4 linked regions of the Oryzias latipes genome follow. The main gene of each other region encodes a partner of the protein of the gene in region 3 in a complex. Links are inferred from orthologs where the notes say so. Each region holds a gene or a part of one and is shown on either strand. Other genes may lie near its edges.

Evidence for each region.
Region 1: thoc1 (region 3) and thoc3 share a complex: the UniProt entries of both Homo sapiens proteins name them as parts of the transcription/export (TREX) complex. The link is inferred for Oryzias latipes from reciprocal best matches to the Homo sapiens genes THOC1 and THOC3.
Region 2: the proteins of thoc1 (region 3) and thoc6 are in contact, whole or in part, in a cryo-EM structure (PDB 7APK), measured with the Homo sapiens proteins. The link is inferred for Oryzias latipes from reciprocal best matches to the Homo sapiens genes THOC1 and THOC6. Residues at the interface, in NP_005122.2 of Homo sapiens: Ser227, Pro229, Ile230, Asp231, Tyr232, Leu234, Arg236, Val270, Ser273, Tyr274, Asp309, Leu312; in NP_001334633.1 of Homo sapiens: Leu57, Ser58, Ser59, Glu60, Pro312, Glu313, Lys315, Thr330, Asn331, Gly333, Tyr334, Ala336.
Region 4: the proteins of thoc1 (region 3) and thoc7 are in contact, whole or in part, in a cryo-EM structure (PDB 7APK), measured with the Homo sapiens proteins. The link is inferred for Oryzias latipes from reciprocal best matches to the Homo sapiens genes THOC1 and THOC7. Residues at the interface, in NP_005122.2 of Homo sapiens: Leu10, Arg14, Glu46, Gln53, Arg56, Glu60, Ile63, Ile64, Asp99, Asp102, Cys103, Leu104, Pro105, Arg146, Gln151; in NP_079351.2 of Homo sapiens: Tyr47, Gln51, Leu54, Ser55, Ser58, Gln59, Phe62, Gly65, Lys66, Leu69, Val70, Met73, Arg76, Glu77, Asn80, Ile84, Ile88.

What each region holds. Positions count from the first base shown.
Region 1 is NC_019868.2:29,382,759-29,386,491, forward strand, and holds thoc3 (THO complex subunit 3), read right to left. Parts: upstream 2,499-3,733; 5' UTR 2,464-2,498; coding exon 2,284-2,463; intron 1,763-2,283; coding exon 1,606-1,762; intron 1,532-1,605; coding exon 1,327-1,531; intron 1,250-1,326; coding exon 1,088-1,249; intron 1,022-1,087; coding exon 921-1,021; intron 837-920; coding exon 673-836; 3' UTR 533-672; downstream 1-532. UniProt on the Homo sapiens protein: Component of the THO subcomplex of the TREX complex which is thought to couple mRNA transcription, processing and nuclear export, and which specifically associates with spliced mRNA and not with unspliced pre-mRNA.
Region 2 is NC_019866.2:289,622-293,686, forward strand, and holds the start of thoc6 (THO complex subunit 6 homolog), read right to left. Parts: upstream 2,823-4,065; 5' UTR 2,808-2,822; coding exon 2,670-2,807; intron 1,889-2,669; coding exon 1,797-1,888; intron 1,720-1,796; coding exon 1,655-1,719; intron 1,552-1,654; coding exon 1,448-1,551; intron 1,378-1,447; coding exon 1,340-1,377; intron 1-1,339. UniProt on the Homo sapiens protein: Component of the THO subcomplex of the TREX complex which is thought to couple mRNA transcription, processing and nuclear export, and which specifically associates with spliced mRNA and not with unspliced pre-mRNA.
Region 3 is NC_019875.2:28,356,296-28,360,598, forward strand, and holds the start of thoc1 (THO complex subunit 1), read left to right. Parts: upstream 1-1,457; 5' UTR 1,458-1,493; coding exon 1,494-1,541; intron 1,542-1,748; coding exon 1,749-1,822; intron 1,823-1,895; coding exon 1,896-1,956; intron 1,957-2,032; coding exon 2,033-2,102; intron 2,103-2,372; coding exon 2,373-2,491; intron 2,492-2,571; coding exon 2,572-2,620; intron 2,621-2,698; coding exon 2,699-2,794; intron 2,795-2,899; coding exon 2,900-2,982; intron 2,983-3,059; coding exon 3,060-3,133; intron 3,134-3,236; coding exon 3,237-3,345; intron 3,346-3,405; coding exon 3,406-3,540; intron 3,541-3,754; coding exon 3,755-3,855; intron 3,856-3,945; coding exon 3,946-4,012; intron 4,013-4,148; coding exon 4,149-4,199; intron 4,200-4,277; coding exon 4,278-4,303. UniProt on the Homo sapiens protein: Component of the THO subcomplex of the TREX complex which is thought to couple mRNA transcription, processing and nuclear export, and which specifically associates with spliced mRNA and not with unspliced pre-mRNA.
Region 4 is NC_019863.2:16,703,385-16,707,023, reverse strand, and holds thoc7 (THO complex subunit 7 homolog), read right to left. Parts: upstream 2,462-3,639; 5' UTR 2,442-2,461; coding exon 2,354-2,441; intron 2,130-2,353; coding exon 2,009-2,129; intron 1,583-2,008; coding exon 1,455-1,582; intron 1,363-1,454; coding exon 1,276-1,362; intron 1,182-1,275; coding exon 1,124-1,181; intron 1,035-1,123; coding exon 968-1,034; intron 865-967; coding exon 795-864; exon of another isoform or gene 718-794; coding exon 656-717; 3' UTR 560-655; downstream 1-559. Other genes in the region: interferon-induced GTP-binding protein Mx, read left to right, coding at 25-249. UniProt on the Homo sapiens protein: Component of the THO subcomplex of the TREX complex which is thought to couple mRNA transcription, processing and nuclear export, and which specifically associates with spliced mRNA and not with unspliced pre-mRNA.

The sequences.
Region 1 (3,733 bases), on a different chromosome or scaffold from region 3:
CATGTGAGATTGTGGAGGGGCTGTAGATCAATACAGACTATGAGTTTATCCTTCTTTTTTAAAATTTTTGGATGCTGGTGTGCCGCGGGATTTTTTTTAAGGTTAAAGTGTGCCGTGGCTCAGAAAAGGTTGAAAAACACTGATCTAGACCCACCGACAGTGCTCTGAATCTTTTTTCTTCAATGATTTGTGATCTTCACTGGTGTCCATGGATTACATGAAATCTTTCCACCTTTATCCACCTTTGTCATGGTAGGGAGAACATGTCAATGGGAGGGGGGGTCATCTAAGATAGCACAAGGGTTAATTATGGTCAAAATAAAGGACCAAATCCGTGAAATTCAACCCACACGTATAACTGAAGTGTCCCAGCACAGGAGGAACTGTTTTTCTATCTATAGTATTTTCTCCAGCATCTTACTCCGATACACATTTCTATAATTTATCATTTTAGTCAAATACTAAAATATTTATTCCGATAGTTGCAGCTCAGTTCAAGCATAAGTTAAACTCAATGTAAAATCAGAAACAGTTTTAAGTTTTTCTGCAGGTTAAAAATGATTTTATTATAAAAAAGTATTTTACAGCTGTACAGTACAAAATAAAAGGGGGTGAGTGAGGAGCTCCCTCTGCTGGAGACGGGACGTTACTGCAGAGCGCCCGCAGCCCCCCTTAGGAGTCGTTGGGAAGGCCAAAGAGCTTGACCGTCCCCGCCTCGCGGTTGTTGTCGTACTTGCCCTCCTTGTCGTCGCAGGCGTAGGCCAGCAGGGGTCTCTTTGGGTGCCAGGCGACGGTGAAGGTGGGGGAGTCACACTGCACCTCCCACAGCTTCTCCCCTGTAGGGTGGAGGAGAGATGGGCTTTGAGTGACAGCCGAGTGGGCGGGATCTTCACCGCCTGTGCGGCTGCAGGTTTACTGACCCGTTTCCACCTCCGCGATGTCGATGAAGTGATCCTCCGACGCTGAAGCCAACATCTTGCCGTCGTGGCTGAAGCTCAGCGTCCTCACCGGCCAGTCCAGCCTGCAGCAGAGCAGAGACTCGAACAAAGCTCGCAGCAAACGCCGGACCCTCGGCGGCTCAACCCACCTGGAGAAGCAGCGCACGCACACCAGCTCCTCCACGTCCCACAGGCTGACCAGCGCGTCGGCGCTTCCCGTGGCGAAGTACTTCCCCGTGGGGTCGAACTTGATGCAGATGCAGTTGGACGGGTGAGCGTTGATGGACTGGATGGGCTTCAGCTCCGGGTAACTGCGCAGCACCAGAACCTGTTTTTATTTCAATGTGACCGGTGGGCGCGGGTCGGCATGCGACAGTGGCGCTCTGACCTCAGGATGTTGATGCAGCCGTTGCCGTTGGTCAGGAAGAACATGTCGTTGTCGTTGTTCCAGGAGATCTCGTTCACCTCGAACTTGAACTGCTCCTCCGCCCTGGAGCGGTGCGTCTTTGCGTCGATGAAGGTCACCACGTCGTCCTTGTTCCCGACGGCGATGGTCTGGCCGTCTGGACTCCAGCAGATGTTGATGTTTTCACCTGGAAACAAAGTCAGTTCAGACGTTAAAACGTTCCTCGACATCGTTCCGGGTCTTCAGATCCGTCCCGGTTACCCTTTGTGTTTACGGTGGCGATGCACTTGGTGGTGCGGACGTCCCAGATGCGGATGGTTTTGTCTCCGGACGCCGTAACAAACAGGTCCGGGTTGTTGGGATGCCAGCACAGCTGATCCACGCTGTCGCCGTGACCCCTGTAGTTGTTGTCCTTGACCTGGGGAGAAGACGCACTTCAGTGGTTGGTGGCCATTAAACGTTTAGTACCGTTCTAAAACGGTATGAGTTAACATTTATGCTGCAGTGGGTCTTCCTCCTCCACCGCTGAAGTCTTTGTCCAACACAGAAACATGAAAGTTGGAAGACTTCAGCTTCCTGATGCAAACTCAGAGTCAGGATTCAAACCCAGAACCTCACTAGCTTCAGAACCTCAGATGTGCATCAACTAAGATGATGGATTAAAGAAGCTGACGGAACATTTCATGACTTGAGGTGAATATTTTCCCCTTCAAGTAACTCCCAGCTGGAAACATCAGCTGCTTCTTTTTTTTTAATAGTTTTTATTATTACTTTAGTTTTATTTTGACTTTTTAAGGGCGATCCACAGTGACAAAACACCGCCTTCTCCTCTGAATCCATCACTTCTCTGTTTTTAAATAACCTTCCAAGGAGTTTGGCACGCGCGTCTGTCTTTGTGCTAAAGCTAGCATGCTAGCAGAAAACGAGCCGGTTTCTCACCAAGCGGTCCTTTTCCAGGACGAAAACGCTCGCGGTTTTGTCGAAAGACCCGGACGCCAGCCTCCGGCCGTCGCAGCTCCACGCCACCGAGTGAACTTTCGCCGAATGAGCCGGAAACTCCCGACTTTTGCTGTTATTTCTGAAGCTCTCCTGCATCTCCTGATAGTACTGCGACGCCATCTTGGTCCCACTGTGTGACGTATGGTTTTTAGAGGAGAGCGCGAGGGCCCCCTGCTGGCCGGAGGACCGCGCGTGCAGTTTACTCATCGACCAGTGAGTTGACGCGTTACTGAAGACAGATCTTTGAACTATTGTTACTTTTTGGGAAATTCTTGGATCAACTGGAATTATGGGAAAAGACTTTTGAAAATAGAAAAACCAGATGATCCAGATAATTTCCCCATTGATAATAAATAAATAAAGATAAAATATTTATTATTTAAGATAATTAATCTTATCTTTACAGGCATTAAACATAGACATATTCTCATATTTTTGGAGCATTTTGGAACTAAAGTGTCACAAAGAAATGACAGTATTCTTCAAATAAAACACTTTTTGTGTCACTGACAGGATTTTTCTTTTCCCTGATTTTAGATTCCAGAGATGAAAGAAAATTGCAAAGGTGGTGCTGACATCATCAGGTCAAAAATAACTAATACTTCATATGATATGTGCTTTTATTTAGTACAAACAAATAAGGCAGACCGTAAAATAATCTGTAAAATGTAGACGTGTTTTAAAAAGTGACTTCATTACTTACTTCTGCTAATAATTCACCAATGAAAAAGACAAAGACTGTTTGGTTTGATCTGAACTGCAGTTTATTTCAGGTGTGAAAATTCCGGTTTAAAAACATGGAAACTGGATGCAGAAAATCAGTGTGAGGGTTCAATTCCCCCATCAGAGGGGGGGGGGGGGGGGGGGGGGGGGGGGGGGGGGCGGGTCAAAGCTGCAGGGTTTTACCTGCACAGGTGATCTCACTCTGACTGAGGTTTTCCAGCAGCTTCTAGGGTCAAATTCTTCTCGTCTGGTTTGGGTCTGGAACCTCATGGAAACTCATGGTGACTGACGTGAGACAATCGTCCCTCACGTCTGCATGAAGGTCGATCGTTAGCCATAATGGAGCCGACTCTTGTGAAACATTAGCAGGACCATGTTTGCTCAAATTCAGCAGAAAATGTAGACAACATTCATGCAAAATGGGAGCTGTGTGTCATTCCACCCAAAAAATGTGGATCTATTTGCATATTTCTGTGCCTCTAACTCGGTCGTTTCCCAGATCTCAGTAAGAGCCGAACTTCCTGTCCTGACTTCAGGATCGTGTTTGAATCTACGGTCAAACGTTTTGGCTTTTGCTACGTTTCAGTCAGAAACACACCAGCATTTTTGTTCCAGGTTTTTGTTGCCATAGTTACGGACATCCCAGACTGAACTGTTGGAGGTCCTC
Region 2 (4,065 bases), on a different chromosome or scaffold from region 3:
TGTGTGTGCGTCTGGGTGTGCGTCTGGGTGTGCGTCTGTGTGTGTGCGTCTGTGTGTGTGCGTCTGTGTGTGGGTCTGTGTGTGCGTCTATGTGTGCGTCTATGTGTGCGTCTGTGTGTGCGCGTCTGTGTGTGCGCGTCTGTGTGTGCGCGTCTGTGTGTGCGCGTCTGTGTGTGCGCGTCTGTGTGTGCGCGTCTGTATGTGCGTCTGTGTATGTGCGTCTGTGTGTGCGTCTGGGTGTGCGTCTGGGTGTGCGTCTCTGTGTGTGCATCTGTGTGTGTGCGTCTGTGTGTGCGCGTCTGTGTGTGCGTCTATGTGTGCGTCTGTGTGTGTGCGTCTGTGTGTGTGCGTCTGTGTGTGTGCGTCTGTGTGTGTGCGTCTGTGTGTGTGTGCGTCTGTGTGTGTGTGCGTCTGTGTGTGCGTCTGTGTGTGCGTCTGTGTGCGCGTCTGTGTGTGTGCGTCTGTGTGTGTGCGTCTGTGTGTCTGTGTGTGCGTCTGTGTGTGCGTCTGTGTGTGTGCGTCTCTGTGTGCGTCTCTGTGTGCGTCTCTGTGTGCGTCTCTGTGTGCGTCTCTGTGTGTGCGTCTCTGTGTGTGCGTCTCTGTGTGTGCGTCTCTGTGTGTGCGTCTGTGTGTGCGTCTGTGTGGGTGCGTCTCTGTGTGGGTGCGTCTGTGTGGGTGCGTCTCTGTGTGCGTCTGTGTGTGTGCGTCTGTGTGGGTGCGTCTGTGTGTGCGTCTGTGTGTGTGCGTCTGTGTGGGTGCGTCTGTGTGGGTGCGTCTGTGTGGGTGCGTCTCTGTGTGCGTCTCTGTGTGCGTCTCTGTGTGCGTCTCTGTGTGCGTCTCTGTGTGCGTCTGTGTGTGCGTCTGTGTGTGTGCGTCTGTGTGTGCGTCTGTGTGTGCGTCTCTTTGTGTGCGTCTCTTTGTGTGCGTCTGTGTGGGTGCGTCTGTGTGTGTGCGTCTGTGTGTGCGTCTGTGTGTGCGTCTGTGTGTGCGTCTCTGTGTGCGTCTCTGTGTGCGTCTCTGTGTGCGTCTCTGTGTGCGTCTCTGTGTGCGTCTGTGTGTGCGTCTGTGTGTGCGTCTGTGTGTGCGTCTGTGTGTGCGTCTCTTTGTGTGCGTCTGTGTGTGTGCGTCTGTGTGTGCGTCTCTTTGTGTGCGTCTGTGTGTGTGCGTCTGTGTGTGTGCGTCTGTGTGTGCGTCTCTTTGTGTGCGTCTGTGTGTGTGTGTCTATGTGTGTGTGCGTCTCTGTGTGTGTCTGTGTGTGTCTGTGTGTGCGTCTCTTCGTGTGCGTCTGTGTGTGCGTCTCTTTGTGTGTCTGTGTGTGTCTGTGTGTGCGTGTTCTCACCTGTAAGTGGGTCTCTTGCTCCACAGGGGCTTTACGCTCTGAGGACAAAGGGCAGGAGGTCACCTGGAGGTCCAGGAGGACTGGGGTTCTGGTTCCGAGGAGCCTCACCTTCTTGCTGAGCTCGGTCCAGCTCCAGGCGCTGACCTCGCCGTTTCCAGCACTCAGCAGGACGCCGTCCGCCGACAGAAGGCTGAAGACTGGACCCTCGTGAGCTGCAGGACGAGACCCAACGTTCAACTAGAACCTTCTGCCGGACCCGGACCACGATCACCGGAAGAACCTTCTCCTGGACCCGGTCCAGCCGGACGGACTCACCTGTGAATGTCAGGACCGGTTTGAGGCTGGCGGCACCGGCATCTGGGCTGAGAGCTGCTGACAAACTGGAGACGGAGACACAGCTGAGAGCGCCGCCGTGCGCGCCCGCCCGCCCGTGCACGGCGGCGCTCGTTTCGCTCACCTGAACAGGCCGATCTCCCCGTAGTTGTTCCCGGCCGCCAGGAAGCGTCCGCAGGGAGAGAAGCTCTGAGAGAAGACGGACATGTGGAGCAGCTGGGGGCGGAACCAGAGTCCGGTTAGAACATCCAGAACAGCAGCTACTCATCCAGAACTTTGGTTCTTTTCTCAGTCACATTGAATCGGAACCAGACCGTGGTCTGGTGAAGTGCGGTCCGGCCAGCCGTCACTGAGTTTTAGCGTAAAATGTTTACATCCTGGTTTCTGGTCCACAAAGACGGTAAAGCGCTAATATCAGCCGAGTTATTTGATGTACAAATGTATTCATTAGATTGCATGTCTGGTCATTCAGCTCGTTCTAAGGTGACTGTCGGTGGATTATTGTTGGTTATGATGTTCATGACCATCACAGCCATATGGAGCTTTATAAACATGTTATACTATGGACGAGGAAGCCTGAGTGGGACTCGAACCTGAATTTCTCTCCAGTTAATTAGCGCTTTACCGGGACGCGTGTACCGTGAAGCATGATGTAACACCCCCCCCCCCTCCCCCCCAGGGGATGTGTCATAAATAAAGCCTCCATTAATATCAGTTTGCTGCGTTTGGCTGAAGTCGCTGCGGTTTTTCTACCAAATGTTTTTACTGATGTTCTGTTCAGAATGAAGGTTCTGGATCAGGTATTGGACTTTGTGGTTCTGTGGCTCCGTATTCCTTTACGGTTTATTCGCCAGCGGAAACGGAACCTGAGCGGGGTTCGGATGATGAAGCCGTCTGTCTGAGTCTCCTCCTCCGTGGACGGACTTCAGGCTCGGTTCGATAAAAGTGACACCGGGATTCTGTGCGCGCGAACCGAGTCCGTGTTCGGGTAACTCACCTCGACCGGTCCCATCCTGCCGCCGACCTGGAACCCCCAGAACCGAACAACACTGAACTTCCAGACAATAAACCTAGCGGCGCACAAGGCGCGAAAACCTCTGGCTCGAGAATATGACGTCACAGGAACGCACGGCATGCTGGGAGTTGTAGTGGTGTGACAAAGATTTCTGACCTGATGGCTCAGCAGGAACAGTTGAGCTTTTTCTAATCAGCTGCTGTGTGCGTGTGTGTGTGTGTGAGTGTGTGTGTGGGTGGGTGTGTGCGTGAGTGTGGGTGTGCGTGAGTGTGTGTGCGTGAGTGTGTGTACTTAGAAGGATTTTATTGATTCAACAGCTGAACCTGCAACCTCTGACAGATCCATTTGATCCAGTTTCTTACCGACAAAACCGAGTCAGAGCCGCAAAATCTCAGTACTCCACAAACGGTTCTGCTGCAGCAGAAGATCAGAACCTGAGCTTTAAACTGTTTCAAATATTGGGATTGAAAGCATTGGTTAGGAAGTTCACACGGACTCCACAAAGTATGTCTGCTTTCTTTTATTTTTTTCTTCAACACCAACAAAGGCTACAAATACAAAAAAGCCTTTTTACCCGTCTCAAACCCTGACCCACTTCTCTGCACACATTAAGCGTCTCATAGAAAAGACATAAATGCTGCTGTGGAGAAGGTCCACAGGTTCCTGGGGGGGCACCTCACTAACCACCTGTCCTCCTCCACCAACTCCACATCAAAAAGCACAACACCACAAACACACAACAACACCACAGAAACACAACATCAACACTGCAAACACACAACACCAATACCACAAACCCACAACAACATCAACACAACAAACACACAACAACACCACAGAAACACAACATCAACACCACAAACACACAACAACATCAACACAACAAACACACAACAACATCAACACAACAAACACACAACAACACCACAGAAACACAACATCAACACCACAAATACACAACAACATCAACACAACAAACACACAACAACATCAACACTGCAAACACACAACACCAATACCACAAACCCACAACAACATCAACACAACAAACACACAACAAAACCACAGAAACACAACATCAACACCACAAACACACAACAACATCAACACTGCAAACACACAACACCAATACCACAAACCCACAACAACATCAACACAACAAACACACAACACCACAGAAACACAACATCAACACCACAAACCCACAACAACATCAACACAACAAACACACAACACCACAGAAACACAACATCAACACCACAAACACACAACAACATCAACACAACAAACACACAACAACATCAACACTGCAAACACACAACATCAACACCACAAACCAACACAAACAACATGAACACAACAACACACAACAACACAA
Region 3 (4,303 bases):
TCTTGTCTTCAACCATTTTGACCATCTGTCCAATTGGGCTCCATGAATGGAATGAACTTAGCTGGAAGTAAGCTGGTCCTGCAGGGAAAAACCTGCTGCAGTTACCTTTACATCCATACAAGCATGAAAAAATTAACCTGTTTGATCCTGCAAGACACAAATTATATTTGTATTTTACTGTTGCAATTCTTTTCTTTGGAAATGAAGTCTGCAGTCGACACAAATTATAGGTCTTGTCCTGTGAAACCCACTTTACAAAGTGCAAAGTTAAATGATTGCCATCACACTGTAATGGGCCAGTGCTTCTAATGTGCAATGTGACGTTGTTCAACAGTAGATTTCATCAAAGCATTCCAGCCCTGCAGCACTGTACTCTGTAATGTACGCCCACAACATGCAGAAATGTTCCCCAGTGCAGACAGACATACATAGACCACACTAATCGAACACCGTGACCTCTCCAAAACCAGTGCTATGTAAGTATGAATGACACTGAGCTTTTTCCTAGTGCACAGGTCTAACTAAATAAAAAAATTGTAACTGTACAATTCAGTTTAAAAATGGATTTAATGTTTCAGCAATGCAATTGAATTAAAATTTACTTTATTAAAATAACAATTGTTAAAGTTTTATTTCAGCTTAGAAGAGAAAGAATACACAAATGATTACAAATTTCTAAAATATTTGATTTATCCCACCATTATTCAGTGACACCGGTCACCAGCAGATGAAACGTAGCTTTGTTTCAAACTGGATGAAGGGTTCAGTAGTTGAAAGAACAGTGTGCAACACTGCCCCCGTGAGGTCAAATGTGGAAGTGAGGCAGCTTCCCCCAATCTCACTCTGAGGTCAAATTATGAGAATTATCGAACACACGCGGATCTTTGGCTCATTGTCGCAACTTTATAGCACGTGTTAAGACGGTATGATAAAGTTTTATTCAAAAACATGTTTCAAACAGCAGCACAATTTGGTGGTTTTAGGGCAAAAAAACACATCAGTGTAATTTCTAAATCCCTTGTTAGAAAACTAACAAAGATGTATTCCTCAAAAGATAGAAACAAATGCGAACTACATTTTTAACATTTATTCTGAACTTTATGTATTAAAAATACAATTTAAAATTGATCATTATCTGTAAGCAAAAAAAAAAGCTTTAAAAAGTTCACAATGACGTTTTTTTTCAAATATGATTTTTTTTTAAACACATGAATTAAAGAAAGTGAAAAATTACAAATGTGGAGATTGGCAAACCTGTACAAATGTGGTATTTACGTCGCCCTAAGTATTAATTTTAGGAAACCGTCTAAAGTTGTCATCAATTATGTATGTAAATATTTAATAAATGTTTTTTCCGTTTGCATTATATATTGTATTTATGTCTACATTTTATTTTGTAATTTTTGTAAAATAATTTTTAAAAAAATAACGGGAGGGAGCGGTCAGAAAGACCGGAAGTACTTCTAGGTGCACTTCCTGTTGCAGCAGTAAAGATGTCTCCGTCCTTGTTTAATTTTGTCGATGTTAAAGACAAATTTACGGTGAGAGTTTGCAGGATGAGTTTTAATCATTAGGCATGCAAACACATAAATATATATACGGTGGATGTGATCAGAACGGTGATAACTTAAGTAGTTTTTTTAAATTAATTTTCTGTTTTGTTTTTCTACATTAGCTGTTAGCATAATGCTAACGTATTGAAAAGAGAGACGTTTTCTTTCGTATTATTCTCACATTTTCGTCCTCAGGTTGCTGCCAGACACGCCCTAACGGGTAAAACCTGCAAACCTTTGGTCACATCGTTTAACCAGATCCCTGGGAAGTAAGTCTACATCACTTCGACTTGTTATCAATTGTAATTTTTACCTATAACGAATCATTGACGTGTGTTTCAGTGAAACGGAAAAGAAAACAACTCTTGATCAGGCTTTGAGGGGCGTTCTTGGAGATCAGATTGTAAGCTGTTTCTTTAAAATTATCCAATGTTCTGCATTTGTACGCAAAGCTTAAAGGCTGATCGTTTCTTCTGTAGGTTGAGCAGAAGGCCAGCTGTGATGACTACCTGTCTCTCATCTACTTGAGCATCGATGCGGTCACAGAAGGTGTGATGCTAATGCAGAAAGTTGAACCGTGTCTTTTATTTAAATACAAATGAACAGGCCCTTTTTTTTTTAGCTGTTATTATTTTGACTTTAATATCTTGTTCATGTTTATATAGCAGAAATAGTCCATTTTAGCCACTCTTGTTTCGGAACTGTTGTGTTTCCGGGACGTTTACGGTACTCTATTTCAAAAGAAGTTAGTCTTAAAATCAAAACAGTGTAAAGTCTCGTCTTCAACCTTTTTTCTTCGGTGTTTTCTTGTTTTTGCAGGAATCTGCTCCGCTACAACGCCCTTCGTCCTGCTGGGAGACGTACTAGACTGCCTTCCACTCGATCTGTGCGACAAAATATTCTCTTTTGTCGAAGAGAACGTCTCCACTTGGAAATCTGTAAATAACTTACCCCCCCAAATGTGAAATATTGGTCTATCTGTCATGTAATATTAAATAGTATTTTTCCTTTTTTCCAGAACTCCTTCTACAGTGCAGGAAAAAACTATTTATTGAGGATGTGTAACGGTAAAATCTCCTCCATGTCTAATGTTATTCATCATTTCAAATTTGAGCAGTGAGTGACGAACTTTTCGGACCCTTTAGATCTTTTGAGGAGACTCTCCAAATCTCAGAACACGGTATTCTGCGGGCGAATCCAGCTGTTTCTTGCGCGCCTCTTCCCTCTGTCAGAAAAGTCAGGTGAGGACCCCAGCAGGGGGTTTGTTGTTCAGTTGTTGGGTGTTGACATCAAAGATGACATCTTAGATTGGAATTTTTTGTTTGTTTGTTTTTTTTCCCATCTAGGTCTTAACCTGCAGAGCCAGTTTAATTTGGAAAATGTAACAGTCTTCAACAAAAATGAACTAGAAAGCACTCTTGGCCAAAAGGTGGATTTTCTATACCTGAGGATTGATTCCAACAGTTTGGGTTGACTGATGACGGTTTTTTTTTCATGTTTTTCCAGAGCACAAATGAAAAGGAAGAAGGCATGGAGGTGGAAGAAGGAGAAATGGGGGAGGAGGATGCTCCTGCTCAGAGGTTTGTAGTAAAATGTTACCGATCCTCGTACAAACTTCTGATTTGCTCTTGACACCAAATGCTCCTCGGATTGAAAAGCTGTTCATCAAAATGTCGATTTCAGCTCCATTCCCATTGATTACAACTTGTACCGAAAGTTTTGGACGCTGCAGGACTACTTCAGGAATCCTGTGCAGTGCTATGACAAGTTTCTGTGGATGACGTTCCTGAAGGTAAAGTTCCTGAACTTCAGACGTATGCATGTGGCGAACCATAGCTAACCTCCTGGTCAGTTCTCAGATGAGACTCTAGCTGTGTTCAAGAGCTACAAGCTGGACGACATGCAGGCCTCCAAGAGGAAGCTGGATGAGCTGAGAGGATCTGATGGAGAACATGTTTACTTTGCCAAATTCCTCACCAGTGAGAAGGTGGGAAACTTTGTCTTTTATCAGCATACGTTTCTGTTAGAAGTCATTTTTAAAAGTATTAGATGTTTGTGGGGTCATGGGTCTGTTACCAGAGGGGGGAAAGGGTGGGCTTGTCTATGTTTTTAAGCCGCATAATGCAGGAGAAGCACTTTTCATGAGTAAATTGTGATCTGGATCTGACTGCTGACTGTTGTTCCTCTCCTCCTTCTTTCAGCTGATGGACTTGCAGCTCAGCGACAGTAATTTCAGACGCCACATCCTGCTGCAGTACCTCATCCTCTTCCAGTACCTGAAGGGCCAGGTCAAATTCAAAAGGTTCAACCTGAGCACAAATGTAACTCGACGTTGAAAAATCTGCATCGTCATGTTGGGGAAATAGAATCCTTTTTCATCTTTATCCTGCAGCTCCAGCTGTGTCCTTAATGACGACCAGACCACCTGGATCGAAGAGACGACTAAACTGGTTTATCAGGTCAGTTGAGGAGGAAAAATGGGGAAATCTTTTTATATTTATGAACTTTATAATTTATAGTTTTGAATGTAAACTGTTGAGGTCTTGAAAAGTCAAAGAAAAGGGGATGATGGAAGCCTTTTCTTTGGTTTTGTAGCTGCTGAAAGAAATCCCTCCTGATGGAGACAAGTTTGCCAGCATGGTGGAAGTGAGTCCACATCATATCCAACCGGTCAAGGTTTTGGGTCTCTGTACATTATTCTAACTTATATTTGTGTTTCAACAGCACATCCTCGACACAGAGGAGAACTG
Region 4 (3,639 bases), on a different chromosome or scaffold from region 3:
CTTTTATTCCACATTATCCTGCAGATTGCTGGCATGCGTCTAGCTGATCAAATCCCCCTGGTGATCCGTTATGAAATGCTGCAACAATCAGCCAGCCAGCTCCAGAGAGAGATGCTGCAGATGATTCAGGACAAGGAGAACTTGGATTTCCTGCTGAAGGAGGACTTTGACATCGGCAGTAAGAGGGCTACTTTGCAGAATCGCCTTAAGCGCCTTTTGCAGGCCCGTGCATACCTAGTAGAGTTCTAAAAACTTTGAAGGATCTGTTTTCTGCATCTCCAAATTACATGTTAGTGTAAATGTTCAGTTGTTGTGTTTGGGTAGTCCAGTAGAATCTGCTGTTTCTAACAGGAATGATTATCTTACAGCAGCAAAAGTCATTATATGGGCACACAGATGTTTTCCTTTTATATATTGTTATAATCACCTCGAGTGTGGAGCATGTTTTTATGTTCATTGTTTTATTTGGGCATATATATAGAGGGAAATTATTATCAGTCTGTGAACTTTGATTTTTTTATTTTTATTTGAAACAATAAAAGGGAAAACCAGACAGAGCGACAGAATCAAGAGAATTTTATTCAAAAATACATACGAAAAGCATTCTGTCTCACAAACCCAAACTCATTTAAGAACATTTCATTCTGTTCCACTGTTATTCACTGTTCCCTGCAGGGCTCTCTTGACTGGCATCTTCAATATCTGACTTCTCATCATCTAAAAGAAGACAAATTTTGAGTTTAACTTTTTGAAACAATTTTAAAATCAGTTGGCATTAAGAATAAAGTGCTCACTCTCAAGTGTCTGTTGTAGCTCCTGAATGGTGGTAAGAAGAACGTGGAACTGCTTCTTCCTCAACTCCAACTATGGTGGAACAGTAAATTTGATAGAAAAAAACAACAACTTTAAAATAAATCAAATCATCAGCGAAATACACAGAAGCTGCATAAATTCTGTTTGGATATACCTTTGCATCCACATTCTCTTTGATGTGGGACAGTTGTTGGAGCTCTTTGTCAAGCGCCTCTAGCTGCCTGAAAGAAAATAAATAAATAAAAATGAAGCAAAACTGTTGTACGCTGTTTACAAGCAATCGAAAATCTGAATTAACGGAGCCACTTACTTGAGTGTTTCATGCCTATCTGGATGCTGCTGGATTACCTTGGCTAATGCATCATATTCTGGAAAAAATACAAACATATTTATAATACTCCAAGGATGTTATTGAAAAAGGACAATAAATAAAATATGCAATCCATATCAAAATATCCTTGCCTTGGCGATTTTTTCGTATCCTCTTTGCCCTCTGAATATCTTTTTTGCATTCTGCAATCTTCTCATGTGCAGATGTGATGTTTTGTTCTGCAATGGGGGGAGGGTGGGGGGGGGGGTATATAGATGAAATCTAATATTGTAAACAGAAATGCTTCCAGACGAGAGCAATAAAACCTCACCTATATTTGAATAGATCTTCTCATAGTTTTCCATTTCTCTAAGATTCATGTCATAAACCATCAACGTCTTTCCCATGGAAAACTCACACTGAGCCAGAGTGCCCAACATCCGCTGGTACTGTGTGAATCTACACGCAAACACAAGACCACAAGGAATTAAAGTGAGATTTTTTGTTGCATATTTAACAAGGAAGACACCATTCTACTCTTCGGGTATATAAAAACACATCATGGAAATGTATAGAAACAGCCTTTTGAAATGCATGGTCAGAGTTGAAACATTGTGCTGTGTGTCACACTCTGCTTGCCATAGATTGTAGAGAAGACAGTTACTCTTCTCCTTGGGTAAGTATAACTGCATGCAACTGAGACCCGTTAACCTTCTATGGAGTTTGATAAACTAGCTTGGAATTGCCTGTACACACAACGTAAGAACTAACTAATGTGACTTTTCTTTCGCAAGAAGAGTTGTTCGTAAATGCTAAATCACATTAAAATCTGGAAAGTAAATCTTCTGATGCGTCAGCTCAGACTCAGATTCATTCAGCACTGACCCTTCCTCCGGAGTCCCGGGCGAGTTGCACCATTTAGTGAAGCTTTTAAGCAGCAGGTTGATCCGGCGGTCATCTCCGGCTCCGTCGCCATCAATAAGAAGACGTTTCCGAATGACTTCATCTTTAACAGAAACGAAAGAGACAAGATAAACTATAGGCTAGATTGCAACCTGCTAATCTGAGCTAGCACTGCAGGGCAATAAATTAGCTGCACAGTTCTCCCAACTGATTGCGTAAACACTGCTACATTCTAGAAATAAGCTATTGTATACAATAACTTAACACATAAACACTTTATTTATTTTTAATAAAACTTTATATTAAACGAAGTAACCACCAAATTACCATCTGTTACGGCCCCCATGTTTGCAATGAGCAATACTATTTCCGGTAGAGCAAGATTCTTTTTCCAGGTTAAAATCAGCGGTTTCATTTTCTACTGCCCCCTATTGGTGGACATTCAATGTGGCAATTTTTTTCCCACATTTTTGTGCTTTTTAGACTCAACAGCAAAATTGAACTTTTATTATATTGCAGAATATTATTGGACTAAAAACCAATGACAGTTTAGAATACAATTGATTTTGTTTTATTTAACATTTTGCTTTTAAAAATGTCAGCTTACATTGTAGCATTACACATTGAATTTTAAATTCTAAAATGCATTTTTTAGATTGAATGCTTAAATTGCAAGCTGAATTATCAATCGAGAATGGCACATTACATATTTTGTTTTACCATTAAACCATTCATTTTTACCATGTAGCATTTAGATATTAAAATAATTGAATTATGAAAGTTTTATCATTTTCTTTCTATTAAAATATTAACTTCCTTTACTTTTGACAGCAGCATATATAGGTTCCTTTCAAACGAAATAAACCTCATGTCAAATTAAATCCTCCAACAGACTCACTTGAATAAAACATGTAAGAAAGTCAGGTCAAACATAGACTTTTCTATCAGTCAGACTTTGCTGCATATTCGTTCTTTTCTACTTTTATAGTCATATATTAACATGACAACATTGGAGCAGAATCCAAATAAAAGAAAGTTTAATAAATAAATTAAAAAAAAAAAAAAACAACCCCAAAACATTATTAGTAACTCAAATCGTTAGCGTTTTTTTTTCAAAACCAAAGAGCCACAATGGAATCATAAAGGAGCTGCATGTAACTCCGGAGCCTCAGGTTGCAGACCTCTGTTCTATAAGAACCTTTAGCTACTAAGTGGCTATTGAGGACAAAGATTTCTATCTAGCTTTAATTTCACCATTTATAATAATTCATAAATAGTAATGTTACTGGTACGGTTATAGGTACAATACCTGCTTCAACTATAGATTTAAACAGGTTTTCATTTGGCCAACATATTTTCTTGGTCACCACTTCCTCGTTTTTTTTCTGACAGATCAATTCAGGTCTGATTTCATGTTTGTTCCTACACCTTAGAAAATTACAATGAAACTTGTTTGAAACTTAATGTGCTCTATTTCTCACCAGAACACCAGCCGTGTGGGCAAATAGAGTTTTGTTATTTAACAAAGGTTCACGCGTATATTAGATTTACAGGAAAACAGTACAAACTTTCAGCAGTTTGCCAATTAGAAATCAGAGGTTAACATATTCATG